Linked DNA regions of Pelodiscus sinensis. The protein of the gene in region 2 purifies or fractionates together with the protein of the main gene of each other region. This does not show direct contact. Links are inferred from orthologs where the notes say so. Each region holds a gene or a part of one and is shown on either strand. Other genes may lie near its edges. The genes, in order: SS18, BCL7C, ARID1B and DPF2.

The links.
Region 1: the proteins of BCL7C (region 2) and SS18 purify together in Homo sapiens (affinity purification with mass spectrometry; 3 studies listed by BioGRID and IntAct, counting the BioPlex papers as one, with this or other methods). This does not show direct contact. The link is inferred for Pelodiscus sinensis from reciprocal best matches to the Homo sapiens genes BCL7C and SS18.
Region 3: the proteins of BCL7C (region 2) and ARID1B purify together in Homo sapiens (affinity purification with mass spectrometry; 4 studies listed by BioGRID and IntAct, counting the BioPlex papers as one, with this or other methods). This does not show direct contact. The link is inferred for Pelodiscus sinensis from reciprocal best matches to the Homo sapiens genes BCL7C and ARID1B.
Region 4: the proteins of BCL7C (region 2) and DPF2 purify together in Homo sapiens (affinity purification with mass spectrometry; 4 studies listed by BioGRID and IntAct, counting the BioPlex papers as one, with this or other methods). This does not show direct contact. The link is inferred for Pelodiscus sinensis from reciprocal best matches to the Homo sapiens genes BCL7C and DPF2.

The regions. Positions count from the first base shown.
Region 1 is NC_134712.1:76,224,304-76,231,521, reverse strand, and holds the start of SS18 (protein SSXT), read right to left. Parts: upstream 3,021-7,218; 5' UTR 2,821-3,020; coding exon 2,752-2,820; intron 1-2,751. UniProt on the Homo sapiens protein: Appears to function synergistically with RBM14 as a transcriptional coactivator. Isoform 1 and isoform 2 function in nuclear receptor coactivation. Isoform 1 and isoform 2 function in general transcriptional coactivation.
Region 2 is NC_134714.1:134,097,269-134,104,597, reverse strand, and holds the start of BCL7C (B-cell CLL/lymphoma 7 protein family member C), read right to left. Parts: upstream 3,006-7,329; 5' UTR 2,749-3,005; coding exon 2,657-2,748; intron 1-2,656. UniProt on the Homo sapiens protein: May play an anti-apoptotic role.
Region 3 is NC_134713.1:111,317,201-111,324,604, forward strand, and holds the start of ARID1B (AT-rich interactive domain-containing protein 1B), read left to right. Parts: upstream 1-4,390; 5' UTR 4,391-4,945; coding exon 4,946-6,652; intron 6,653-7,404. UniProt on the Homo sapiens protein: Involved in transcriptional activation and repression of select genes by chromatin remodeling (alteration of DNA-nucleosome topology).
Region 4 is NC_134721.1:34,379,280-34,386,964, forward strand, and holds the start of DPF2 (zinc finger protein ubi-d4), read right to left. Parts: upstream 3,009-7,685; 5' UTR 2,994-3,008; coding exon 2,619-2,993; intron 1,434-2,618; coding exon 1,312-1,433; intron 1-1,311. UniProt on the Homo sapiens protein: Plays an active role in transcriptional regulation by binding modified histones H3 and H4. Is a negative regulator of myeloid differentiation of hematopoietic progenitor cells. Might also have a role in the development and maturation of lymphoid cells.

The DNA.
Region 1 (7,218 bases), on a different chromosome or scaffold from region 2:
TAGAAGTCTAAATATTAAGATGGGTGAACTAGGGTGCCTCGTATTAAAGGAGGATATTGATATAATAGGCATCACAAACTTGGTGGAATGAAAGTAATCAATGGGGGACAGTCATATCAGGGTACAAAATACATCAGAAGGACAGAACAGGTCATGCTCATGGCGGAGTGGCACTATACGTGAAAGAAAATGTAGAATCAAGTGAAGTAAAAATCTGAAATGAGCCAAAATATTCCATAGAATTTTTATGGGTAGTAATTCCATGCTCCAATAATAAGAATATAGCAGTAATGATATATTATTGACCACCTGATCAGGACAGTGATAGTGACTATGATATGCTAAGGGAGATTAGAGAGGCTATCAAAATAAAAAACTCAGTATAGTAGGGGATTTCACCTATCCCCATATTGACTGATTACACGGCACCTCAGGATGGGATGCAGAGATAAAATTTCTTGATCCCTTAAATGACTGCTTCTTGGAGCAGCTGGTTCTGGAATACACAAGGGGAAGAGACAAATCTTGATTTAGTCAAAAGTGGAGCACAGCATATGGTCCAAGAGGTATATATAACTGGACCACTTGGAAATAGTGACCATAATGTAATAAAATTTAACATCCCTGTGGTGGGCAAAATGCCTCAGCAGTCCAACACTATGGCATTTAATTTCATAAATGGGAACAAAAATGAGGAGGTTAGTTAAACAGAAATTGAACGGTACAGTGACAAAAGTAAAATCCCTGCAAGCTGAATGGAAACTTTTCAAAGACACCATAATAGAGTCCCAACTTAAATGTATACCCAAAATTTAAAACAGTAAAAGAAACAAAAAAAGTGCCACCATGACTTGACATAACCAAGAAGCAGTAAGAGATAAAAAGGCAATGTTTTAAAAAGTGGAAGTTAAATCCTAGTGAGGAAAATAGAAAGGAGCATAAACTCTGTCAAATTAAGTGTAAAAAATATAAGTAGTCAAAAAGGAGTTTGAAGAACAGCTAGTCAAAAAAAATCAAACAGTAATAGCAAAATGTTTAAGTACATCAGAAGCAAGAAGCTTGCTAAACAACCAGTGGGGCCTCTGGACAATGGAGATGCCAAAGAAGCACTCAAAGATAAGGTAATTGTGGAAAAACTAAATGAATTCTTTGCTTCGGTCTTAGATTCCCAAAACTTGAGTCATTCTTTTTAAGTGACAAATCTGAGTAATTGTCCCAGAGGAGGTTTTGGAACAAATCGATAAACTTAACAGTAACAAGTCACTGGGACCAGATGGCATTCACCCAAGAGTTCTTTCAGAACTCAAATGTGAAAGTACGTAACTATTAACTGTGGTTTGTAATTTATCTTTTAAATCGGCTTCTGTACCTAGTGACTGGAAGATAGCTAACGTGACACCAATATTTTAAAAGGGCTCTAGAAATGATCCTGGAAATTACAGACTGGTAAGTCTAATGTCAGTACCGGGCAAATTAGTTGAAACTAAAATTGTCAGACACATAAATGAACATAATTTGTTGAAGGAAAGACAACATGGTTTCTGTAAAGGGAAATCATGCCTTAACTAATCTACTAGAGTTCTCTGAGTGGTGTCAACAAGCATGTGGACAAGAGGGATGCAGTGGATATAGTATTCTTAGAGGGAAAGTACTTTCATGGACTGATAACTGGTTAAAAGGAAACTAAAGGTAGCAATAAATGGTAAATGTTGAGTGGAGAGAGGCAACTAGTGGGGTCCCCCAAGGGTCTGTCCAGGGACTAATTCTATCCAACTTATTTATAAATGCTCTAGAGAAAGGGGTAAACAGTGAGGTGATTTTCTTTAATCACAGAAGCACATACCAAGATATCAGCAGTGCCTATAATAGCACCTAGAGCAGGGGTGAGCAATAAAACAGTGTGGGTTATACCCTGACAGGCTTCCTCCGCTATATTTACCTGTGTCTCCAGAGGCACTGGCAATCACAGCTCCTGCTGGCTGAAGATTGCTGTTCCGGCCAATGGGAGATGTGGGAAGCAGTGTCCAGGCCACACCTTTACCCACCCTTCCCAGTGGCCAGGAAGAAGTGATTCACAGCCGATGGGAAAAGCGATCATCGGAGGCTAACTATGGCAGATCAAGTCTAGCCTGTGGGCCAGTATTTGCCCATCACAATCTTAAGGGGCACCCTAAGTCTCAAGGCTCTGCTCAAACCACCTCTCCTCCTTACTAGGCAAGATTTTTTTTTTTAAAGGGATCAATAAAACTAAATTGAGACGCTGTAGTTTTGTCTAACCTCACCAATAAGCACTGGACAAAGACCGAAGTGATAAAAGCCTGTTCATCCCAAAAGGTGAGATATGACAGTTAACCAATACACACCTCTGGGGTAGTTATTGGCCTGACCCGTTACCCCAATTAAGAGACACGGTGTGGAGCGGGCAGTGTGTGTGTGTGTGTGTGTGTATGGTGGGGGGGGGGGAGATGGTGTTTAAAATATTCTATTGAACCAACTTGGGTGGGTGAAAGAGAGACGCTTTGGAGGCGCCCAGGGCTCTTCTGCACACCTGGGGAAGATTCCCCCCCCCCCCCCCGCACTCCTGCCTCCCCAGGGGCCCCTCCGCAGCCCCCCCCCCGCACTCCTGCCTCCCCAGGGGGCCCTCCGCCCCTAGCGCCACAGCCCTGCCCCGGCGTGTTTCCAGCCCCCGCCAGTCGCCGCCCCCTGGCCGGGCCGGAAGCAGCCCCGTGTCGGGCCCGGCCCCTCCCTCACCTTCTGGATGGCGGCCGGCGTGATCTCGCCCTTGCCCCGCTGCCTCGGGGCCGCGAACGCCACCGACATGTCGGCTCCCTGCGCGCACGAGGGTCCAGCGCCCCGGCCGCGCGCCAAGCAGCGACGGGAGGAGGCTGCGATCAGGGAAGAACATTCACCGCCGCGAGAGGGAGGGGGCGTGACGGCTCGCAGGGCCAGCCCATCCCGATCGAGAAGAGGGGGTGCAAGCCTCGCTGCCACTGCCCTCCGCCTTCCGACCGCATGTGGCAACCCCAGCGACAACTGGGACCCTCCCGTTCCCCCTAGCGAGCAGCAGCTTCGTTGACAGGAAGCAGCCGCTTGCCTGCTTTAAGCGCGTCCTTTTCGTTGCGCATTCCGCCCCCCCTGCTAATATGGTACACTCCTACCCAGAGCTCTCAGCCTGAGACAGGCTGCAAGTGGTACGGCCGGGAGTTGGGGGAGCTGGAAGTGCTCACTTTACAGGAGAAAGTGGCTCGTTTCCCCTCCTCCCCCGCGCCCAGTCTTGGTTGCGCCTAGTCATTACGTTCCTGGGCTGAGCGACCCGGGGCGGGGCTTGTGCAAGTTGCAGTGAGGGCAGGAGACTTATTGGGAGCGCGTGCTGCTGCGTCCCGGCCCCGGGAACGTTCCATCCCCTCCGCTGGGGCAGGAGCCTGGCCCCTCTAAAGGGTCCGGGCGGGAGCTGCTGCAACTTGCGCAGGGACAGGTGGTTTTATTTGGGAACTGACTTGCTCAGGAGTCGTGCACTCACGTTGGTGTCGCTTCTGGGGCTGGAGGGGGAAAGTCTGCACTTGCAATGTTGTTGTCTATAGGTTCTTAACCTCCCTATTCCCCAGCGACTAAGGTGCCGGGGAGACTGCTGAAGGAGGGGGACGGGATAACATCTCTGAGCCTCTTCCCTTTCCTGCCCTGGACCCTGTCCCACCTCTCCCGCCCGCCCCAGTGATGTGGTTTGGGGGACTAGTAGGTGGTCGGGCACCGTTGCAGGGGTCCAGGCCTCTGCACTGACTAGCAGCTGGTGGTGGAGGTAGGGGAAGGGGAGTGACACAAACCTGCAATCCCAGCGCCAGCAGAGTCGCTCTGCTTCTGGTTGGTGTGGGGCAGGGGAGTGTCTCATCTCTCCCTTGAGTGGTGGTGTAGTAAAATATGCTTTGCATCTGAGCCGTAACAAGGCCGGAATTTAGGCCACTCAGAAAAAGATCCTACATTATGAATTCCAAATGGAAATGACCTTCTGGGGCAGAGTTTCTTAAATGACAAAAATTCACCATGAGAGAAAAATGAAAAGATGTTGAGAGAAATGGGGAAATGGCTAGTGGAAAATGCACTGAATACTGAAAATGCACCATTAGCTGAACCCTCGGATGACAATGATCATACAACTTCAGTACTGATTATTACCACAGACCAGCAACTGGAACTTGACATTACAGCTTCAGCATCAATCTCTGACTCTGAGATTGACCAAAAGCTCAATCTCAAGGTCTCAACTTTGTCACCAATTATGATTATTGACATTAACAATGACCAGGACTATCAACAAGATTCAACTGTAATATAAATAAATTTTAACAATCCACCATCTTGGCTCTCTATAAATGACAAAATAAGATGCCATCTTATTGAACAAGCACCTGGCGAGAGAGAAACCATGGATTTTCATGAATCAGTATCATCAGAGGGCCAAAAATTTTCAGGTGATTGGTTTTAAAAAGTGCTTTATAATGAAGAATTTTAGAGCGCAATTGGCTTATTTATTCTGAAACTAGTAAGGCCATTTTTTTGTTTTCCATGCATATTATTTGATCAGCGTTTTTCCAAACTGAATATTGCAAATCAGAAAACCAGCAGATTTAATGCTTTGAAAAATTTAAACCGTATTGTAGAGCATGAAAATTCAAGCATTCGTCATGAAAATTTCTGTAAATGGAAATCCATGCGAAAAAGATTGAGTAGAGAATATATTGATGATGCACTACAAAAAAGCTATTGAAGCTGATAAGCAAAAATGGAGACATATCGTGAAAATAATTCTAGATTTTTTGTGCCAAAAATAATCTTCCACTTAGAGGATTGAGTAGTGTTATAGGAAACCCTAATTCGGGAATATTTCTTAATCTAATGGAATTTATAAGTCATTATGATGTTGAACTAAAACAACATATTGTAACTCACAAAAAGGTTCGGTGAGCTCTTTTTCACTGGCTATCCAAAATGAGTTTACACCTGGTCCTGAGTTACAAACCAAACACGTGGCCGTAACTCGAAGTGTTCATAAGTCGGACCCATTAAGTTACATGCGACTGCGCTGTTCATAAGCGTGGGTTGCGTTCGTAACTCGGGAACCACCTTTACGACCGCTTAATGGGAGGTTTGGTCATAAGTGCTAACGGTCATAAATCGACCGTTCGTAACTCGGGGACCGGCTGTATTGGGTTAATAGCAAACCAAGTTCGAATTGAAATTATATCCAAAATTTTAAAAAAGCAAAATATTATTCTATGCTTCTGGATTATACACCAGATATACCTCATCGTGATCAAATATCTCAGATTGTGAGCTGTGAAAATTGATGATAGAATCATAACTATAGAAGAAAGTTTCATAGACTTTATTGAGACCAAGGAAAAAACAGGAAGTGGATTAGCCAAAGAAATAGTAAAGACGTTTGAAAAGAATGGAATTGATCTTCAAAACGCATGAGGCCAAGGGTACAATAATGGTGCAAATATGTCAGGCATGTACAAAGGCATCAAAGCTGTCATTCTGCAATAAATAAATTTGCAAATTGTGTACCGTGCTTGGCCCACAGTCTCAATTTCGTTGGAGTACATGCAGCTTCTGTAAATTCCTCTATGGTTTCATTCTTTGGCACTGTACAAAAATAAACACTTTTTATTTCTAATTCTACCACCCGCTGGAATATTTTAATGGGTTTATTAAAAGTATCACTAAAAGGTCATGCTGATACTAGATGGGCATCAAAAGCAAATTCAATTGCAGCTTTAAATTTGCAGATTTCAGAAGTTACTAAGGTCCTAAATGATGTTGCTGCTTCATCTAAATGTGCTGAAACAGTTTTAGCAGCTAATAACTTTCTTAAAAAATTAATTTTGAGTTTTTGTGCAGTTATCCATTTGGCATAATATTCTAACTCACATTGCCAGAATGAATAAAGCGTTACAAGCAAAAGGCATTTCTGTTTGTCAGGCTTCTAAGATGATCCATGGAAACAAGAGCTATGTGGAAGATATTTTTACTGATTGTAAAAAAACGGTCCAAAATATAGAAATATCAGCAGAATTTACAGAATGCAGAAAGTGAAAAGTTAAAAGACAACAGCTTTGAGTCACAAGATGAAAGTGTTAATTTATCAGCTGAAGAATCATTCAAAATACAAATAAAAGCATATTTAACTGCATAATATTTGAATTAAAACTGGAGATATGAAACGCTAAATGAGAGCTCTTCGGATTTCAATTTTTTTATCAGGAGATTCTTTTGTTAAAATGGATACTACTAATCTTCAAAAAGCAGCAGATTTAAGTTTTAAATATGGCAGCGATTTGAATGCCTCGGAAATTTTGTCAGAGATTCAGAGTTTTAAACATCAGGCATTAGCGCTGTTGCCAAACATTTCATCTGCAACTAGTTTGGACCTTCTACAGTTAATTTATGAATATAGTCTGGCCGAATCTTATCCAAATTTTGAAATCGCCCTGCAAATATTTCTCTGCTTGCCAGTGACTATGGCTTCTTCTGAAAGAAGTTTTAGTAAACTAAAATTAATTAAGAACTACCTTCAAGCATCCACAGGTCAGGAGAGATTATCAAATATGTCCCATTTTATCAATAGAACACGAGGTAGCGAATAATATTAATTACAACACAATTATTGATGGGTTTGCCTCATAAAAAGTGTGCAAAGTACAATTAAAAACGATTACCTAATAGTACATGACATGGTGATATTTTATAATTATATATATATATATATGTATTAATTGATTGGTTATGCAGATCTCAACTATAATAAATAAACATTGTATTATTATTATTTTATTATTATTGTTTATTTTCCCTTTTTCTACGAAATAACTACTATGAATATATAAACATGAAGGGGTGCAATTTTATATTCTTGCCTCAGGCGCAAAATTAGCTGGTTACAGCACTGGCTGTGGCAGCCTCTGGGGAGTGAAGCCATGTTATTCCACTTTCCCCCACGGCCACCAGTGAGTGGAGGGCGATCCCTCCTAATATCCTCTTCCCCTTCTACTGTGGCATTTGAGTGGGCATGTGGCCCCTTGAACCTCCCTCACATGTCCGCATGTGTGAACACTGCTTTGTCAGCACCAGAGCTCTCCTGCTGACAAAGCAAAAGCCACTCATGGGGGCTAGAAGTACTTTGTTAGCAAAAGTGTGGAACAAACAGCATATGCTCTCACT
Region 2 (7,329 bases):
CCTCCAATCGCATCCTCCCCAAGTTAAAATACAGACTCCCTTAAAGAGCAGCAATAGTAAGTTGTTATCTTCTCTTGTCCAGCAGATGACTGTCTGACATATTATCCAGAGTAAAGAACTTGACAGCTAGTCACATCTCAGAAGCAATTTCCATAGAGAAAGGGAGGTGAACAATACACACAATAATTAAATAATGGACGAATAACTAATTGCCATAATTAAGAGCCTGCTCCTGCATTTGGCCACAGGAGTTACTTTAAAGAAGATGGCACCACCTCTGGGGTAGGATAAATGGGGAAAGCCACCCAGCGAGACTGCATGGGGCTGGCTGGCCCAGCGCTGAGATGCATCTGGTTCTGGGGTGGGGCACTTGGGGGAACAGCCGCACATAACACCACCTGGGGCTGACTCGCCTGGCACTGAGATGAAGCCAGCTCTGGGGCAGGGCAGCTGGGGGAACGGCCGCACATAACGCTGCGTGGGGCTGACTCACCCGGCTCTGAGATGCAGCCAGCTCTGGGGCAGGGTACCTGGGGGAACAGCCGCACATAACGCCACGTGGGGCTAGCTCACCCAGCCCTGAGATGCAGCCAGCTCTGGGGCAGGGTACCTGGGGGAACAGCCGCACATAACGCTGCGTGGGGCTGACTCGCCCGGCTCTGAGATGCAGCCAGCTCTGGGGCAGGGCACCCGAGGGAACAGCCACACACAAGGCCGCGTGGAGGTGACTCGCCCGGCTCTGAGATGCAGCCAGCTCTGGGGCAGGGCACCCGGGGGAACGGCCGCACATAACGCCGCATGGGGCTAGCTCACCCGGCTCTGAGATGCAGCCAGCTCTGGGGCAGGACACCCGGGGGAACGGCCGCACATAACGCCGCGTGGGGCTAGCTCACCCGGCCCTGAGATGCAGCCAGCTCTGGGGCAGGACACCCAGGGGAACGGCCGCACATAACGCCGTGTGGGGCTAGCTCACCCAGCTCTGAGATGCAGCCAGCTCTGGGGCAGGACACCCGGGGGAACGGCCGCACATAACGCCGTGTGGGGCTAGCTCACCCGGCCCTGAGATGCAGCCAGCTCTGGGACAGGACACCCGGGGGAACGGCTGCACATAATGCCGCGTGGGGCTAGCTCACCTGGCCCTGAGATGCAGCCAGCTCTGGGACAGGACACCCGAGGGAACGGCCGCACATAACGCCGCGTGGGGCTAGCTCACCCGGCTCTGAGATGCAGCCAGCTCTGGGGCAGGACACCCGGGGGAACAGCCGCACATAACGCCGCATGGGGCTAGCTCACCCGGCTCTGAGATGCAGCCAGCTCTGGGGCAGGGCATCCGGGGGAACAGCCGCACATAACCCCGCGGGGGCTGACTCACCCGGCCCTGAGATGCAGCCAGCTCTGGGGCAGGGCACCCGGGGGAACAGCCGCACATAACGCCGTGGGGGCTGACTCACCCGGCCCTGAGATGCAGCCAGCTCTGGGGCAGGGCACCCGGGGGAACAGCCGCACATAACGCTGCGGGGGCTGACTCACCCGGCTCTGAGATGCAGCCAGCTCTGGGGCAGGACACCCGGGGGAACGGCCGCACATAACGCCGCGTGGGGCTAGCTCACCCGGCCCTGAGATGCAGCCAGCTCTGGGGCAGGGCACCCGGGGGAACGGCCGCACATAACGCCGTGGGGGCTGACTCACCCGGCCCTGAGATGCAGCCAGCTCTGGGGCAGGGCACCCGGGGGAACAGCCGCACATAACGCCGCGGGGGCTGACTCACCCGACTCTGAGATGCAGCCAGCTCTGGGGCAGGACACCCGGGGGAACGGCCGCACATAACGCCGCGTGGGGCTAGCTCACCCGGCCCTGAGATGCAGCCAGCTCTGGGGCAGGGCACCCGGGGGAACGGCCGCACATAACGCTGCGGGGGCTGACTCACCCGGCCCTGAGATGCAGCCAGCTCTGGGGCAGGGCACCCGGGGGAACAGCCGCACATAACGCCGCGGGGGCTGACTCACCCGGCTCTGAGATGCAGCCAGCTCTGGGGCAGGACACCCGGGGGAACGGCCGCACATAACGCCGCGTGGGGCTAGCTCACCCGGCCCTGAGATGCAGCCAGCTCTGGGGCAGGGCATCCGGGGGAACAGCCGCACATAACGCCGTGTGGGGCTAGCTCACCCGGCCCTGAGATGCAGCCAGCTCTGGGGCAGGGCACCCGAGGGAACGGCCGCACATAACGCCGCGTGGGGCTAGCTCACCCGGCTCTGAGATGCAGCCAGCTCTGGGGCAGGACACCCGGGGGAACAGCCGCACATAACGCCGTGTGGGGCTAGCTCACCCGGCTCTGAGATGCAGCCAGCTCTGGGGCAGGACACCCAGGGGAACGGCCGCACATAACGCCGCGGGGGCTGACTCACCCGGCTCTGAGATGCAGCCAGCTCTGGGGCAGGACACCCGGGGGAACAGCCGCACATAACGCCGTGGGGGCTGACTCACCCGGCCCTGAGATGCAGCCAGCTCTGGGGCAGGACACCCAGGGGAACGGCCGCACATAACGCCGCATGGGGCTAGCTCACCCGGCTCTGAGATGCAGCCAGCTCTGGGGCAGGGCACCCGGGGGAACAGCCGCACACAAGGCCGCCCGTCTCCCGCACACCCTGCCGCTCACCATCGGCGCACTCTCTCGATGGCTGCCATCACCTTCTTGATGTCATCCTTGGCCCGGCTGCGGGTCTCGGCCCGCACGGTGCGCCCGGCCATGGGGACGGGACCCCGGGGCGCCGGGCGGGTCACTGCGCGCGGGTCCGGCTCGCTGGCCCTGGCTCCGCGCAGAACCGCCCCGCGCCGACCGAGCTCGCTGCGGGAGGCGGAGCGGAAGCGAACTCGGGCTTCCGCGGGCAGAGCCGGGGCCGGGCGGGCCTGGGGGGCGGGACTCCGGCTTCTCCGCAAGAGACACGCGCACCCCCGCGAGCCGGGCTGGGTCCCGCACCCCCTGCCCCCCCACAACCCCGACCCCCCCACTATATTCCCCCCCGCCAGCGAGGAACCCGGGTGTTCGGCCTCCCCCCCACTATATCCCCCCCCCCCGCCAGCGAGGAACCCGGGTGTTCGGCCCCCCCCACTATATCCGCCCCCGGCAGCGAGGAACCCGGGTGTTCGGCCTCCCCCCACTATATCCCCCCCGCCAGCGAGGAACCCGGGTGTTCGGCCCCCCCCACTATATCCCCCCCGCCAGCGAGGAACCCGGGTGTTCGGCCCCCCCCACTATATCCCCCCCGCCAGCGAGGAACCCGGGTGTTCGGCCTCCCCCCACTATATCCCCCCCGCCAGCGAGGAACCCGGGTGTTCGGCCCCCCCCACTATATCCCCCCCGCCAGCGAGGAACCCGGGTGTTCGGCCTCCCCCCCACTATATCCCCCCCGCCAGCGAGGAACCCGGGTGTTCGGCCTCCCCCCCACTATATCCCCCCCGCCAGCGAGGAACCCGGGTGTTCGGCCTCCCCCCCACTATATCCCCCCCCGCCAGCGAGGAACCCGGGTGTTCGGCCTCCCCCCCACTATATCCCCCCCGCCAGCGAGGAACCCGGGTGTTCGGCCCCCCCCCCCACTATATCCCTCCCGCCAGCGAGGAACCCGGGTGTTCGGCCTCCCCCCCACTATATCCCCCCCGCCAGCGAGGAACCCGGGTGTTCGGCCCCCCCCCCACTATATCCCTCCCGCCAGCGAGGAACCCGGGTGTTCGGCCCCCCCCACTATATCCGCCCCCGCCAGCGAGGAACCCGGGTGTTCGGCCTCCCCCCACTATATCCCCCCCGCCAGCGAGGAACCCGGGTGTTCGGCCCCCCCCCCACTATATCCCTCCCGCCAGCGAGGAACCCGGGTGTTCGGCCTCCCCCCACTATATCCCCCCCCCCCGCCAGCGAGGAACCCGGGTGTTCGGCCTCCCCCCCACTATATCCCCCCCCCGCCAGCGAGGAACCCGGGTGTTCGGCCCCCCCCACTATATCCGCCCCCGCCAGCGAGGAACCCGGGTGTTCGGCCTCCCCCCACTATATCCCCCCCCCCCCGCCAGCGAGGAACCCGGGTGTTCGGCCTCCCCCCACTATATCCCCCTCCCCGCCAGCGAGGAACCCGGGTGTTCGGCCTCCCCCCACTATATCCCCCCCCGCCAGCGAGGAACCCGGGTGTTCGGCCTCCCCCCACTATATCCCCCCCCCCGCCAGCGAGGAACCCGGGTGTTCGGCCTCCCCCCACTATATCCCCCCCCCCGCCAGCGAGGAACCCGGGTGTTCGGCCTCCCCCCACTATATCCCCCCCCGCCAGCGAGGAACCCGGGTGACCGACACCCCCCCCGCCAGCGAGGAACCCGGGTGACCGACACCCCCCCCCACTATATCCCCCCCCCGCCAGCGAGGAACCCGGGTGACCGACACCCCCCCCACTATATCCCCCCCCCGCCAGCGAGGAACCCGGGTGACCGACACCCCCCCCCACTATATTTCCCCCCCCCCCGCCAGCGAGGAACCCGGGTGACCGACACCCCCCCCACTATATCCCCCCCCGCCAGCGAGGAACCCGGGTGTCTGGCCTCCCCCCCACTATATCCCCCCGCCAGCGAGGAAGAGGATGTCTGCCCCCCCCATATCCCCTACACCAGCGAAGAACCCGGGTGTCCGACTCCCCCCCCCCCCACTATATCCCTCCCCCGCCAGCGAGGAACCCGGGTGTCCAGCCTCCCCCCCCCACTATATCCCTCCCCCCCCGCCAGCGAGGAACCCGGGTGTCCAGCCTCCCCCCCCCACTATATCCCTCCCCCCCCACTATATCCCTCCCCCGCCAGCGAGGAACCCGGGTGTCTGGCCTCCCCCCCACTATATCCCCCCGCCAGCGAGGAACCCGGGTGTCTGGCCTCCCCCCCACTATATCCCCCCGCCAGCGAGGAAGAGGATGTCTGCCCCCCCCATATCCCCTACACCAGCGAAGAACCCGGGTGTCCGACTCCCCCCCCCCCCACTATATCCCTCCCCCGCCAGCGAGGAACCCGGGTGTCCAGCCTCCCCCCCCACTATATCCCTCCCCCCCACTATATCCCTCCCCCGCCAGCGAGGAACCCGGGTGTCCAGCCTTCCCCCCCCCCACTATATCCCCCCCCACCAGCGAGGAACCCGGGTGTCCAGCCTTCCCCCCCCCCACTATATCCCCCCCCACCAGCGAGGAACCCGGGTGTCCAGCCTTCCCCCCCCCCACTATATCCCCCCCCACCAGCGAGGAACCTGGTTGTTCGGCCTCCCCCCCACTATTTCCCCCCCACCAGCGAGGAACCCGGGTGTCTGGCCTCCCCCCCACTATATCCCCCCCCCCGCCAGCAAGGAACCCAGGTGTCCCGCCTCCCACCCCCCACCCACTAGATCCTGCCCCCAGCCAGAGAAGAACCCAGGTGTACTGCCTCCCCGCCCCCCCACTAGATCCCTGCCCAGTCAGGAGAGAGCCCTGGTGTCCTGTCCCCCACCACAGGACCCCCCCAGTCAGGGGAGAGCCCGGATATCCGGCCTCCCCACCTTGCTGCAATTCCTAGACCCAGAACCCAGGAGTCCCGGCTCCTACCCCTTCCCCCCCCTTTAATCCTGGCAGTAGCTCAGCAGGGATTACAATGGAGGGGCCTGGGGTTAGACACTGAGCTCATTGTGCTGGGGTGACTCACCCTGGAGCAGGCTGGGGGGGTCACCATTACCTCAGCCGCCCACGGGCAGGAACCTGCTGCGGGGGGGGGGGCTATAGGTCTGGAGTGAGGGAAACGAGGGGGGGGCTGGGCTGGCAGGGGCTGCGGGGTGGGAGTGAGGGGCAGGACTGGGCTGGGGGCAGGAGTGAGGGGCAGGGCTGGGGGGCCGGGAGTGAGGGACAGGACTGGGCTGGTGGGGGCTGGGGGGCAGGAGTGAGGGGCACTGGCAGGGCTGGCGGGGGCTGGAGGGCAGGAGTGAGTGGCAGGGCAGGGCTGGCGGGGGCTGGGGGGCGGGAGTGAGGGGCAGGACTGGGCTGGCGGGGGCTGGGGGGCGAGAGTGAGGGGCAGGACTGGGCTGGCGGGGGCTGGGGGGCGGGAGTGAGGGGCAGGACTGGGCTGGCGGGGGCTGGGGGGCGGGAGTGAGGGGCAGGGCTGGGCTGGCGGGGGTTGGGGGGTGGGAGTGAGGGGCAGGACTGGGCTGGCAGGGGCTGGGGGGTGGGAGTGAGGGGCAGGACTGGGCTGGCGGGGGCTGGGGGGTGGAAGTGAGGGGCAGGACTGGGCTGGCGGGGGCTGGGGGGTGGGAGTGAGGGGCAGGACTGGGCTGGCGGGGGCTGGGGGGTGGGAGTGAGGGGCAGGGCTGGGCTTGTGGGGGCTGTGGGGCGGGAGTGAGGAGCGCCGGCAGGGCTGGGGGGCGGGAGTGAGGGGCAGGGCTGGGCTTGTGGGGGCTGTGGGGTGGGAGTGAGGGGCACCGGCTGGGCTGGGGGGTGGGAGTGAGGGGCACCGGCAGGGCTGGGGGCAGGGCTGGGGGGCGGGAGTGAGGGGCGCCGGCAGGGCTGGGAGGCGGGAATGAGGGGCACCGGCAGGGCTGGGGGCGCAGCTGGGGGTGTGTACCTGCAGCTCGGTGGACCCTGTACCTCGCTGCCTCCTGTCTTTGCACGTAGAGAGGCTTAGGAAAGCCCAGAAGCCCCCTGCTGACGGGTGGGGGGGTCTGTGGATTTCCGCAGAGCTGGGTCACATAGGGAGGGTCCGAGGTGTTACCCCTGCTCCCAGCCACCCCTCTAACCACTGCACCCCGCTTCCCTCCCAAAGCTGGGCTGGAGCGCTGCACTCCTGGCTCCCAGCCTCCCCCACTCTAACCACTAGGCCCCACCATCTCTCTCCAAAGCTGACTAATGGGAATATGGGGGTGGAGGGCCGGGGGGCGGGGGAAAGGAACTGAGTTTCTTCCAGGTACTGTTCTATTGCAACCCAGGGCCTTGCCAGCCCTTCCCAGAGCTCCCTGCTGGCTCTTGCCGGGCAGGGCACCGTGACGCCCCCACTTACTTCCTCCTCGGGGAGGGGGCTTTGCAGCGCTGGGGGCGGGAGGAGCAGGGGGCGAGGCCAGAGGGGTGTAGGACGGAGACACGGGACCTGTGCCCCCCTCCCGCCCCACGGCCCCTTTAAGCCGGCTCAGGAATGTGTTTATGCCGGAGGCTCCCCCCTGCCAGGGTGGGGCGTTGGCCCCGGGTGCCTCCTAATCAGGGGCGCAAAGACTCACGAAGTAAAACTAAGGAGCGTGGGGCGGGCTGCCCGCCCAGGGAGAGACGGGACGGCGGCTCCCCTCCCCCACGGCCCTAGGGGGGG
Region 3 (7,404 bases), on a different chromosome or scaffold from region 2:
TGTAAAACGAGGTTTTCTGCGGTCAAAAAAACTGCCGCGCTCTTTCGATTTACTTTTGAAAGAACACCGCAGCAGTCTAAATGCAGGGAAAGTTGGTTTTTTTTAAAGTCCACTTTTTTGAAAAAACCGTGTAGTCAAGACACACCCTTACATAGCAACAAGGGGAGAAAGGAAATGTTAAGTAAAGGAAAAATGGAAAACAATAAATGACAAGAGGATTTTGAGGGCTGTAGTACCTGCAACTACATTTTTCACTTAAAACAAAAAACAACACTGATAAAGATAATGTGACCATGAATTACCATTCTTTTGAAGACAGGATGTATGGCTTTTTCTTACACTCCCAAGAAATACAATGTTGTTTCCAAACAATGGCACAGGAAACAAAATTCTTAGGGTGTTCTATCAAAGTTCATAGATTTCAGAATGAGAGAACTCGGCAGCCCTCCATTAGTGCGAAGTGTAAAGCTGTTTTGTTTTTTTTTTAAATTGCTCATGCTGTTTCACTGAAGTACAGAGCTTCAAAAACTATTCATTAAAAAAGCCTCAGTTCAGCAAACCACTTTAACCAAGCTCTTAACTTGAAATAAGTGAATAATCTTAGTGATTTCAATGGGATTATTCACGTGTAGAATTAAGCACATGTTTAAATATTTTACTGTTTTGGACCTAAATCTTGCAGGAAAACAATTGTTCATATAATTCCCTAATGAAATAATGAATGATTTTATTGAAAAGAAGATAGTAATGTTCTGGAGGCCTTTTGGTTACGCACAGCCAGAATAAATTGATTAAACTCCCCATTATAAGTGGTATCTGAAAAACGGATTTTAATCAAATGGCAAAATGTGTCACTCTCACACATTAGGCTTTTGGTAAACACTGTGTACTTCAAAATATATTAAGATCAGATAGGATGAAATATTGTACTTTACCTAAGCAGATTATTGCATATTGTCCGTTACTCGATTGTAATAGTTCATACATCCTATTAATTAATAATATATAAAATCAATATAGGTAATAAAAATTAGTGATGTCTCATTGCATTTGTTCTGTGACTTACAATGCAGACTTCACCTTGAGATTCACATAAAGCTAAACCAAAGCACAGTACTCTGTACTTATGTGTGTACGTGTATTTTAACTCTTTTTGTTTTTTGTTTTGTTTAGGATCTGATCGCTGTCCTAGTGAAACCAATACATTTATTTCAATATAATTTGGATAGGGCCTTTAACCAGTGAAAGAAGTGTTAATTTAATAATTCTGAAAATTTAAATCTTGGTTTTTTATGGTCCCCCCCCCCTTTAAATCACTGCAAATCTATAATAACTAGAATAGGGAAAATATGGTGAATTTGTGATCTGCGTTACCTAGATGTGTAGGGGAATTAACTAGAAGACCAAACTGTTAAATCCAAACAGAGACTTCAAGCAAAATAATGTTGCAGAGTACAGTGGTTAACTGGGTAGGACACAACAAAGTGGCAAGGTGGTAAAACTCTGGTTGGGCCATTAATTTTTAACCCTTACTATAAAAATATAGAACCCCAAAACAAAATGGTTATTTTCTCTACCTTCTCTAACAATAAGACCATAGCATTGTCAAAATATTGGCTTATACTCTATATAACATTCAGAAGCCACTGTTCTGACCAAACAAAAAGATAGCTGCTTTAGTGCTGTGAAATGTGTAGGGCTTTCATATTGGACCAGCTATACAGAGATGTCTTGGGAATCTATATAGATGTCATAGTGCAATAAACAGTAAATTTAGAAAAATATATTGTTAATCCTGGAAATGGATCCCAAATAAAGGAGTTTTAAATTTATCAGAAAAATCAACATCCAGCATACTACAAAGCATATGAAAGAGAAATTGTGTTTAATTAATATACATTTATAAAAAATGCAGTTGAAATATAACATTCAAATCATGTATTTGTAGCATTAAGCATTAGATTTCATAATTTTGTAACAGACACCACGCATGACAATTACAGCTTTTCACATTATATGCCTATATATATTTTTAATTTGTACAACAGAGAAAGCTTTTGGAAAGGATCATATGAATTGAACATACACTACCACTCATCAACTGAGCAAAGATGGTACAAGATATTTCAACATTATTTGTGATCTAAAAAACAAAACTGAACCATAGTTGCTTTGTGTTGTGCTTCACTTGCACAGACTGCAGTGCCTTCTGTCTGCTTTCGGGTGTGGCATCTGCCATTGGGGAGGAAAAACTGGCATGTGTTGCCTTTTATAGCAGACTGATTTCATTGTGTTGAGGGCCTCTATTTTACAGTCTTAATTCCAATCTTGTAGCTGAGTTGTTAAAACAAATGTAATGAAAAAGACCGAGAAGAATAAACTTTTCATTTTTTGAGGTTCATTATTTTCCCCAGGAAAAATATTTAAAAAGTAAATCAGCATTAAACTTCGTGGCTTTTTTTTTTTTATTCAGAACTAGTGAAATGAGTCAAAGTATTGAAATCCTCAAAAGAGCTACCTTCAATACATCTTATCAGATTTGTAAATATATATATATATATATATATATACTTATATTTTTGCTTTAATATAAGTGCCCAAAAGCATAAATGTGTAATTGATTTTATATTTTATTGTAGAATATACATATAAATAAATATGCACAAGAAGACATCTATATTTATATTTGCATATGAAAGCCTTAAAAATCAACCTATGTGGTTTAATGTGTATAATTAGTATGTGTTTGAATATAAAAAAGAAGAAAATCCAGGAGAAAATGTCAAAAAAGCTCACTAACAAAGATGTAGTATTCTCTTGGCAAAAGCTGATGAATGATTTGGCATGAATTCATCTTACAGTTCTGTTACTCTCTCTTCTACAAAGATGATATACCCCTTTTCTAGCAGTTTGCATAGAACTGCAATTTGTTGTTGTTACAGACTGTAATGACCCTTGGGAACGCACCTGATTCCCCCCACTAGAATTATTCACTGATTTTTTTTCTACTCTATCAGTTTCTATTAACTATTTAGCATTTTTGTACTTACAGAGAGTGCAAAAACATAAACAAAAAAAAAAGAGAAAGAATTAAAATAGAACTAATATCAACATGTAGTTGAATGTTGAGACTTTTACAAAGTAGAACCATGCTGGAAAATTCAATGGACATTGAACTCACATTGTTCATACATTTATCAACATGCTGTCATGAAGAGTCTGTTCTTTAATGTTTTCACAGTGGAAATAAAAAAATCCCACTTCCTACTCATTACATCATCATTTATGACAAGTTATGTTTTATGTTCTGTCAGTATTAAAAAGTCTATTTAGTGAGCTGAAAATGCTATTTAACAGATTTTAATAAAATATTTATTTCATATAACATTTTAGATTCTTATTAAATTGTCTAAATACCATCAATATCCTGTCTTACTTGTGTCCATGGAAGAATATTTAATTTTCCAACTACTTTTATTAGCTGAATGTGGTGTTTGACTGTTACGTTTTCCTGATCAAGTTCTTACTTATATTAAGACAATTATTTTAAAAAATTAACTAGCAATAGCTGGAGAAATCTGCTATATAAATCTAAGTCATTAGGAGTAATGGTTGCTTTGATTATATATTGTATTTTATATTACTACATTTTCATGAGTGTCTTAGATATACTAGAAAATAATGTTGTTTCGGGACACAATTATAGGACTTTCCTTGGGAGCCTTGTAATCTGCATATAAATACGAGAACATGTTCCAAAAAGCTCCATACGTAATGCTTATATTAAAAACATCATTAGCACAAATGATCATTAGAACTTTGAAACAGCTGGACACTACAGATAATTTAAAAAATGCCATTACTACTGAATTTTGTGTTAATTTGAACATTTTACAAGTATTTTTATTTTTCCATAAAACAATTTGTAGGCAATACATTTTAGTGTCTTGAAATCAGAAAACCTTAGACTGCCTACTGGCTTGAAAAACAGAGAAAAGATTTTGAAAGTTTGACCAATTTTTTTTTTAATCCAATAAAATATATTGCCAACAATGTGTTGGATTTTCTCTTTGTCTACTAAGCTGTTATGATGAGCACCTTCAGCTCTCACCCCAAAAATACATGGGCAGAAAGCCAAATTAATCCATGATGTAACAACTTTTACTTCAGTTGAATTACACCAGGCCTGAATTTGACCCACCCAGTGATGCTTAGTTGTCCTTTTTGGGTAAGATCATTTGTAGCAATCAGTTTAATATTCCATTCTCTGTGGAAGACTATAACCTAGATTTGCAAGGGAGTTGAGTGATAGATTTTTTCCATCTCTAACTACTACGATGCTTGACGGGCACAAAATACAAAAAGGGAGCGTACATCCTTTTGCATTAGCAGAAGCAGCTGTCTTGGTTCGGGGCTGTTGAAGGTTGTAATGCGCGTCTCTCTCTGACTGCCACCGCTAAACCTGCTGCAGGAGGAGGAGGGGAAAGTCCAGTCCGCGTTTTCCAAGTGTACAGGAGTAATCAGAGAGAAGTGGATAATAGTTGTTAGAGCTCGCTCTCTCTCTCATGCCATGCTGGGCCAGATAGGCTCAGTCAGACGTGTATTTACCCATATCCGGGTTAGAGAGGAAAAGAAAAAAAAGTTTCATTTAAACCTGAACAAAAAACTTTCAACATGAAATCACACAGCAGGAACAGGCACAGACCGTAAGACATTCTTACTGTTTCTAATCTCAATCACGGACTTTGGGGAGGGGAATTTTTATATATATTTTTTGTGTGTGGAGTGATCAGGAGGGGTTACTGTTTATTCAAATAAGTTGGTCCCCCCCCCTTTCTCTTTTTGCCCTTCTCCCCTCCTTTGCCCACCCTCCCACCCCGTTTCGCTTTTATTTTATTTTTGAGGGTGGGTGTTGGATTTTTGCTTTCGGACTGGCAATGTTGCAATGATCATGGCCGCGCAAGTAGCAGCGGCTCCGGCGGGTGCGAAGAACAACAAGGGCAAAACCCCGAGTTTGCCGGGCAACTTGAGCCAGGATCTCAACTCGGGGGGAGCAGCCGCCGCGGCCACCGGGGGACCCGGAGCGGGCTCCATGCTGGGGGTCGGAGATGGGACTAACAGCAGCAGCAGCCTGAATAATGTAGATCACCATCTCCTCCACCACCATAATGAACTGAACATGGCCAATAATGCAACTTCTGCTGCTGCTGCCACCGGTAATAACAACAACAACAACGCCAGCACCAGCGGCAGCAGCAGTAGCTCCTCTTCGGAGTCGGCTCTGAAAGAAGGTGGAAGCTCCTCGGGGTTACCTTCATCTTCTTCTTCCTCCGCCTCTAACCCGGGCTCGGCCATGGAGACGGGGCTGCTCCCCAACCACAAACTGAAAAACGTTGGAGGCGATCACCCTGCCGCACCTCCCCACCACCACCATGCCCACCACCCGCATCACCATGCCCACCACCACCATGCCCACCACCCGCACCACCACCACCACCACCACCACCATGCACTACAGCAGCAGCTAAATCAATTCCAGCAGCCGCCGCCGCCTCAGCACCATCCGATGCAGAATAACAACAGCCTCGGCGGCGGCAGCAACAACAACAACGGCGGTGGCGGCGCTGCTCAGCCCAGTGCAGACATGGAGCAGCAGCAACATGGAGGAAAAGACGGTGTTTTGGGAAATCAGGCCGAGCCCCCTCCGCCGCCGCCGCCGCAGCAAATGCTGAATAAAGGGGGCGAGGAGGAAGAGCTGCCCGGCAAAATGGGCGAGCAGATCGGCGGCCGCTACGAGCACCCCAGCCTGGGACCTTTGGGCGGGCAGCAGCAGCCGCCTCAGAGCGCTGGGAGCGGCGGCGGCGGCACTAGCAGCCTCGGCGGCGGGAGCGGGAGCGGGGGAGGCGGCGGCCCCTCCGCCGTGGGTGTCTCGGAGTTTAATAGCTATTACGGCAACCCTGCCCCTGCCAGCAGCGCTACAGCGAGCCGAGCCGGGCCTTGCTTTGATCAACATGGCGGACAACAAAGCCCCGGGATGGGGCTGATGCACCCCACGGCGGCCCCCAACAGCATGGACCCCCTGCAAAACTCCCACGAGGGTTACCCCAACAGCCAGTACAACCACTACCCCGGCTACGGCCGGCCCGGCGCCGCCGCCGCAGCGGGAGGAGCGGCGGCAGCAGCAGCAGGAGGAGGCGGCTATGGGGGCTCGTCCTCTGGCTACGGGGTGCTGAGCTCCCCCCGGCAGCAGGGCAGCAGCATGATGATGGGCCCGGGCGGAGGGGCCAGCCTGGGCAAGGCTGCTGCGAGTTCTGGGGCTGGAGGCTTCCAGAGATTTGCCGGGCAGAACCAGCACCCGTCCGGAGCCACCCCTACCTTGAACCAGCTGCTCACTTCCCCCAGCCCCATGATGAGGAGCTATGGCAGCAGCTACCCTGATTACAGCAACCCCAGTGCCCCACCACAGCAGCAGCCGCAAGCCCAGGCAGCAGGGGCAGTCCCGGGAAGCCAGCAGGCAGCAGCGGGCATGGGCATGGGCAAAGACATGGGCTCCCAGTATGGAGCTGCAAGCCCAGCCTGGGCAGCAGCACAACAAAGAGCTCACCCAGCTATGAGCCCTGGAAGCACTGGTCAGACCATCAGCAGAACCCAGGTAAACCACCAGACACCCCCTCACCCCAAAACACTCCCCACTTGTATGTTTTGAATGTGTGTCTAGTGCTTTAGTTTCTCTCCAATTTACTTTTCCTCCTCTCGGCCATATAAACTACTTGCTGCCTCCATAACAGGGTTTGGTAAGACACAGTGTCCGATTGATTGGAGGCATCCGACAAATGGTTTCACTGTGCAGAATTGCACTATTCGCTTACAAAATTGAACTGTATAAAGTTTTCCTCCAGTTTGAAACAGATTTGAAGATAGAAGGCCCCGAGGAAAAGCAGTTTGGGTGAGGAGGGAGGAGTTGCTTTTGTAACTACACTGTCAGATTCTGGAAAATAACATTGACTGCCCTCTATTAGAATTTTTTTTTTTTTTTAGACCAAGCAGATAACTTTGATACCCTTTTAACAAATTAGTTGTATTGCTGATGAAGACAGTATGGTGAAATCCAGCAAAAATACAGCCAGGTTGCCTTGGCTCTTGGAAGGGTGAGTGCCATAGTCAAGAAGGTTTATTTGGTAGGCGTTGAGGTGGTGTATTCTTCTTTTATATTTGCCTCAAGCATCCAACCGGGATGAGATGAAAATAAGTGTTATTTGTAAAGTGAATATAATACATAAGTATTATTATTCCCTTTTTGAAATAATCCATACTTTGATGAAGAGACTGGAAGAATCCTTTATTTAAATAAACAGAACCAGATATTGAGAGCTCTGCTTGTTTTGACTAATATACACATCCCCG
Region 4 (7,685 bases), on a different chromosome or scaffold from region 2:
CAGATCATTACAGGTTGAACCTCTCTAGTCCAGCACCGTTGCGATCTGACTGGTGCCAAACCAGAGAATTTGCCTGATCATCAGAGGACAATATTGTCTAGCAGCATTACCAACAATTCCACTGCTTACTGGGCTCTAGAAGACATTTAAGAGTAAATTAGAGCTAAGTAACAGCACAGAACACTGGAAGCCAGGACTGTGGTGGCCGTAAACAAACTTTATGGGACCGTGGGAAACTTAGCCACACACCCATGATAAGTGAACACGGGGCTAACTAAAATCATCCCAGATCACGGATGCTGCCGGAACAGAGAGGTGCCGGACTAGAGAGGTTCAACCTGCAGTTACAAAAATGCCACGAGAGACCATATTAGCCTAGCAGCACAGTGCGATGGGGAGGGATTGGCATAGCAAAGCAGATGGGCTTTGGGAGCAAGGCCAACCTTAAGAAGTTCTTTATTCCAGGACGCCCAAGATATTAGCTTTGTTAGTAGCCAATAATGTGCCAGCATACCTGCGATATCTAGGTGCCAGGCAGTGCAAAGTCAGGCTAGTGGCAGGTATTCCTATGGCAAGCACCTGCTGCTGGCTAAGTTACAGAACGCCAGTGACACCGTGCAGCATTTGAACTTGCTCCTTGCCTTGGCCAGTTGGAGAGGAGAGAATCATCCAAGAACACGGGGGAAACTAAAGAAGGTAAAGGTAGGACCAAACTTCTGAACCCATAAAACGAGTCTAACTGTAAGAAGAAAACAACAAATGGTTTGGTAGCATTTTACAGACTAACAAAACATGTCTATAAAGTGCTACCAGACCATTTGTTGTTTTCTTCTGTAACAAACTAACTCAGCTACCCCCTGAAGCTCCTGTAAGAAGAAAGTAATGCAGGTTAGTGGCTAAGATGTGGCTGAGCATCAGAAAAAAATGGGTTCTAGGCTCTTCCCCTCCCTTTGCCAGTTCACTGTTTCCACTAACACCTTTTATCTGCTCTGTGGGTTTACATGGTATACTTTTTGGAGCAGGGTCAATATCTGTCTGTACAGTGCCAGGCACAGTAGGATCCCATTCTCTGTTAGGGTCTCAAGTTGCTACTGAAATATAAATAATAATGTAACAAATACTTTAAAAGAGGTAGTGGGCTTAAATGGCAGCAAGAGTGGTTTAAATTGGACATTAGGAAAAACTTCCTGTCACATTAGTTAAGCATTGGAATAAATGACCCAGGGAAACTAAGGAATCTCCACCACTGCAGATTTTTAAGAGCAGATGACAAAAACAGCTGTCTGGGTTGATCCAGGTACTTTGACCTACCTTTTGGGGTGAGATGGAAGTTTCCCTTTGGGCCAAGTAACCTCATATTTGTCTTCTACAAATTTCTTGCATCTTCCCCTGAAGCAGCAGGAACTGGGCAATGTAGAGGCAGGATCCTGGACCTGATGGTAATTTCAATATTCTTACATTGGGCTAGATTCTGCTCTCAGGAACAAAAGAGTAAATGGGGTCCCATGGAATTACTCTAGATTTACATAGAAAGAACTAAGTGGAACATCTGTGTGGTTACCCAGCTATCGCCATACCCTGCCTGCTTCTCATTTACCCCAAGGCTCTTATTGCTCTGCTGGTGTCAAGAGGTCTAATGTAAGAATCAGCCCTTTATCCCCTCATCTGGAACATGACATCTATTCAAGCATCTCAGTTTGCCAAAGATATTCTAAAGATAGTTAATTATAAACTTCACAGTTGGTTTCTAAAATTATGTAAGACATGTTGCTGGATGTAGATGGTGCCAGATGTAGATAGTGCTAGATGGAGACATATAATATAGGTGTAAAACAAACCCTCCTGGGGACCAGCAGAGCTTTATATAGACGATGATGGGTAAATGATACCCTGAAGTCCAGCTCCAAATGTAAAAGGCAGTTCCAGACACCCACAGCTTGGTTTAAAATGTGAGAGCATTAATTTCCCCCCATCCCTCTTGTTGCAAGCCCAAAGAGCCAACTTCACAAGTTTTACTGATTACAGATTTCACACACACACCCTTGGAATCAAATCCCCTGGCAGTGAACAGCTGGAATGAGACAGGAGGGGATCCCATTTCAGTGCCAAGCCCGCTGCCTTCAACAAGGAAGAAAAGTGGTAGCAGCGACCAGCCTGCAGAGCAGGAAAAGGCTGCCCTCCTGGCCCCCAGAGCTAAGACTCTGACGCTTTCTAGGTACTGAAAACAACGCTCAAACATTCTGGGCCTCATGGTCGCACCCTGACAAACAGGGAAACTGAGGCAAAGGAAAATATGCCACTACCACACCCCCGCCCCCACCCCAGGGAGCCATTGCAGTGCCTGTCCTGCCTCCCACAGACGGGAAAGGAACCCAGGAGTCCTGCCTCCCAGCCCCACTCTGCTCTAACCGCTCGACCCCACTCCCCTCTCACGAGAGAGACCGGAGCCCAAGCGTCCTGACCCGACTCGCGCCTCGGGAGCAGAACCCAGGAGTCCCGACTCTCCGCCAGCTTCGAGCTCCTTGGCAAGTGAAACTGCTGCGGTGGGTTAGGCGGCACCGCCAAGCACCGACCGCCCCGCGCAGCCACTCCCTACCCCCCCCCCCTTCCCGGCTCACCCTCTGCCCCGGCGGCGCTGGCGGGGGGACTCCTGCTCCGAGCTGCAGCCAGCGACCGAGTGAGCGGCAGCCGGGCTCTTCCTTCCCCACCCTGCTCCTCGAGCCAGCGCACCAAGGGCTGCCCCCCCTCCTCCGCGCTGCCGCGCGGGCCAATGCTAGAGCTGCACTGCAGCCCGCCGGAGAAGCGGCCTGCAAACTCCTCCCCGGGCCAAGTGCACGAGCCAGCCCCAGCGAGCGGGCAGACTGATTCGTGGAGCGCGCTAGGGCAGGCTTTGGGCTGCCCGTCCAGAAAGGGCTGCAAACGGGGGCGGACTGTTTAGTGGTGAAACTTGCCCTCCTCTTTCCCGCATTCTCAGAGGGCGGCGTCAGCTGCATGCCTAGAATGACCAGTGCCCCCGGCGTCCACGGGGACGGATCGTGCACAAGATGCAAGAGGAAATGTAGGAGCTTCCTCCTGGGATTGAAGGCTAGTTTTCCGTATATCTAAGGAGCATGGTTTATCTGTGCATAGTATCCATAGATCGTCTCTGGATAAAAAGGCGTGGAGAGAGCGTGAATAAGATGCCTAGATAAAAGATACAATTTTCAAAAGCTCATAAGTGACTTAGGAGCATGCATCCTGTTGAACGTCAATGGGACTTTGCTGCTAAGTGATTTAGATGCCTTTGAAAATTCTTCCCAAAAGAATTTCAATTTCTGTACATAAAAGGCAGATCCCCTGGGAATTAAGGGAAAAGATTGGCCCTGTGCCTAAACTCTGTACAAGAGTATGGAGTCCCTGTGTATGAAATGCATGGCTTGTGGGTAAGAGATGGACTTTAAGAGGTCCCTAAGTAATTTAGGAACACAGTCCCATTGCCATTCAATGTCACTTCTGCTCCTAAATCACTTAGGTGTTCAGAAATTTGAGAGTCAGAATTATGAGACTGTCTTGAAAATCATGAGATTCTTTTAAAAATTAATTGCAATTTTTTTAAAATTTACCTTCTGCATTCTGAATATTTCAGATGCTCTCATTTCCAACTTCTCTACAGCCATTAGGGTTAGACACTTACCTTTTATTCTTCTTAATGGAAGCTGAGATTCTCACGCATTCTCTTGATTCCAGTCAATGTGACTTTAGGGAAACCACCAAAATCACAAGAATCGTGAACAAATCACAAGAGTTTTTCAACACTGCAAAATGCATGCACCCTCAGTTAACAAAATGCACAGATTGCCACAGCATAAAAAGTGCTGAGTCTCAAAGAACAAAATGCATGGTTTATGCATGAAGTGCTTGACCCAATATGCCTGCTGAGTGTTTCCATTGACTTCAAGAGGCTTTGGATCAGACCCAGAGTGCATGGATTCTCTAGGGATCCAGTGCACAGAGCTAAGCAAATTAGTCATCTAGCTAAATAAAAAGTATAAATCAGTATGCCTGACATCTCTGTAATTTCTCGGCCAACTTTCACTGGACAAGCTGCTCGAAAGATTGTATTTAAGTTGAGCCTTTGCCAACCCCAGCTGGAAATAGCCTGAGTATTTATTTACATTAAAAACTCATATTGTATCTCCATCTTCATCAGCATTAAACAGTTTATCTGCATAAAGAAGATGCACTGATAAAGGTTTGGTGATGCACCCATTTGGATAAACCGTTGAACTAGCCCTATGAGATTTCTTCTTGTGTAGGCCTAACAGAGGCTCTGGGGGCATGTCTACAATAGGAAATTATTTCAAAATAAGTTATTTCAAATTAAACTCCCAAAATAATAATTTCGAAATAGCATGTCCACGCTATGAGGAAGCCTCAAAATTAGTCCGAGGCAGGCTCCGTTAATGTGGATGTGCTACCTTGACTTAGAGGCCCACGAAGCACTGGGGAATAATTACTTTGAATGACTGGGAAGTAGATATTTCAAAATAGCAACAGTGGAGCGTCCCTACTGCTATTTCGAAATATCTATTTTGAAATAAGCATCAATCCTCATGGAAAGCAGGAGTTAGTATTTCAAAATAACCAGACTTATTTCAAAATAACGGACTTAATAGCGTGAACGCTCCACTTATTATTTCAAAATAAGAAGAGTTATTTCTAAGTAACTCCCTAATGTAGACCAGGGCTGGGAGATTAAAACTCTGTACCAGATCCTTAGTTGCTGTAAATTATAATTCAGGCCAATGGCGTCTGATCTACTTTAGTTGAGGATTTTAAGAAGAATGTTCTTACTTTTTGTCATTAGCAACACGTTAGGTTATTAGAGGAAAACAGAGGTGTACAAAATGGATGGACTAGAAGAAGATGAACAGAAGAAAAATGTAACATCTACAGAGTTGCCAGATGGTTTCAACAAAAATATCGGACACACTTGACATTACATCACAATCTACATTACATCTTATTTAGAAAATACTGGACATTTATATTTTCTCATTTATATTCTCTCAATTTGTTTCCCAAACAGAAAGCTCAAATACTGGACTGTCCGGTTTAAAACCGGACACCTGGAGACCCTAAACATCTACACTGGAATTTTCATAAATTCATAGAGTTTCAGTCTGACCTCCTGTACATCACAGGCCAGTCAATGTCCCTCACCTACTCCTGCGGTGAGCCCAGGATCTGGTTTTTGACTAAAGCATAATTTAAGAGGCTATACGCCATCTTCTCGAAAGGCATCCAGTCTGGATTTGCAGACACATCCCATGGGACTTTGTCAGTGCCAGACCGAGCCATACTTGCGCCCCGGGCAGCAGGTGCGCGGCACACGCGCGCCCTACCCCCGGGCACGAGTCACCTAATTGACATGGTAAGGGGCGTCGTGCTCCCAGGCGAGCGGCACATGCGCGGCCACACCCCCGGGCGCACCGCACCCCTTACCACTTCAATCAGGTGCCCCCCAAAGGTTGGCACCCCAGGCAGCTGCCCAGCTAGCCCCCCTGCTCAATCCGGTCCTGGACTTTGTTCCAATCACCTTTTGTGGTTAATTGTGCCTAATTTCTAATTTGAGTTTGTTTGACTTGAGCTTCCAGCCATTGGTTCTTGTTCTGCCTTTTCAGCTTGGCTAAGAAGCCACTTGGTACTCTGATGTTTCCTACCTATGTCACACTGTAATCAAGCCACCTTTTTGATAAACGCATTGAGTTCTTTCAGTCTCTCCTTGGCAGGAAGTGTCTATAGCCCTCAAATCAGTTGTGCGCCTCTTTTCTGGACCTTCTCCAATATTCCAACTTCCTTTTTAAAATGTGGACACTAGAATCAGGGTCACTGAGAGCTGCCAGCTCTTAATAATTTTATTGCAAAACTTGAAAAATGGGATGTTTTCCTTAAAGCCTATTTCTCTAGTCATGTGATTACACAAGACTCTCACATTTCATTTTTTTAAAAGGACATTTCTAACCCTCCTAGTTCAATTCTTGAAAACATTACCTCTAAAAAGCCCCAAACCACATTTATTTATGCAGGGCCACAAATCACTCCAAGGAGAAGATGCTGTTTGTTTTACTCCTGGCAAACGTGACACTTTTCTGAAGCGATAAAGGCATCAGAAAGTTGGCAAACAGACACTCCACACAGTCCCAAGGTACTGTGTCTTGCTGGGTTTCTACATGTTGGCAGACTCACACAGTGCAAAAAACACTTTGGAGGTTCCTGTGAGGTTTATATCAGCCACTCTGTCCAATTAAACATTTGTTACAAATGCTGATTGTTTTCTCACACTGCCCATCCAGCCAGACAGATAATTTAAAATAAAAGCCTGTAAACGAGATTATCTGTGCTGTGAATTTGTCTCTCTATCCAAACCAATAATTTACAGGGCTGCCAAAGGAAGTCGCAGGAGCACCTATCCCATTGCTTGTGTTGTTACAAAATACGGGTGCCATCTGCTGCAGCAAAGATGCTGCTCAGTATAGCTGCTGGGACACAGACCAGAGTGTCTGCCAGGGCAGAACATGGTGACCGATAATGATCCTTTGTCTGCCTGGAGTGTTGTCATGCAAGCATCTCAAAGTATTTCCCATTGGGGGAAAATGGTGCTTTGACATTACTCACCAAGTCTACACTGCAGTTAGACAACCATAGCTGGCAGCTGACACAAGCTATGGGGCTGTTGAAATGTCATGGTTTCAGAGGGGTAGCCGTTTTAGTCTGTAACCGAAAAAAAACCCCTCTTAAAAACAACGAATAGTCCTGCAGCATTTTATAGATGGTATCATGAGCTTTTGTGGGCACAACCCACTTCTTTGAGAGGTGTTTGGGGCAGAGCCCAGGCTCTGGTACTTTCCCACTTCACAAAGCCCAGGCTACGCCCAAGCCCGAAAAGTCCACACTGCATTTAACAGCCCAAGTTAGCTCACATAGGCCAGCTGGGAGGGTTTAACTGCACTGTAGACATCTCCCAAGTCCGTGGTCCCCAACACGGTGCCCGCGGGGGCACTTCCATGCGCCCGCCAGGTGCTCGGGGCTGGCCTGGCACTGGGCGCATGGCGGAGGGAGTGCCGGCCCCGGGCGCGCGGCGCTGGCGGGGGGGAGCGCCGGCCCCGGGCATGCAGCTATGGGGGGGGGCCGCCCCCAGGGCGCAAGTGTCCCTGCCCCCTGGCGGGCGAACAGCCACGCCCCCTGGCGCCCGACAACCTCGAAAGGCTGTCCTAAGTGGTAGAGTTGGGAATGGAACTCGAGTGTCCTGGCTCCTAGCTCCCTATTCTAATCACTCCTGGTCACATACCTTGCTTGCTATATGGACCACATTGCTAAAGAAGCTTATTTATTTTGCCAGCACTTCCTAAGCTCAGTGATCATTTCTGAGAACAAATACATGGATTTCAGAGGAATTGGAGGCAGAAAGTGAAAGCAACATAGTCTAACTTGTGGTTCTCAAACAATTTAGCATCGTGGGCTACTCTGCAACTCACAATGTAGTTCCTGGCCCACAGATTGAGAACCACAGTGAACAGCCCAACAGCCCCACCAGACCCCCATGCCCAATGCCCTGGCTTGCCTATCAACTTCTCCACAGAGTGGGGCCAGGAGCAGATGCCAGGCACAGGGCAGGGGGCAGCCCCTACCCTCCTGATCCTGCC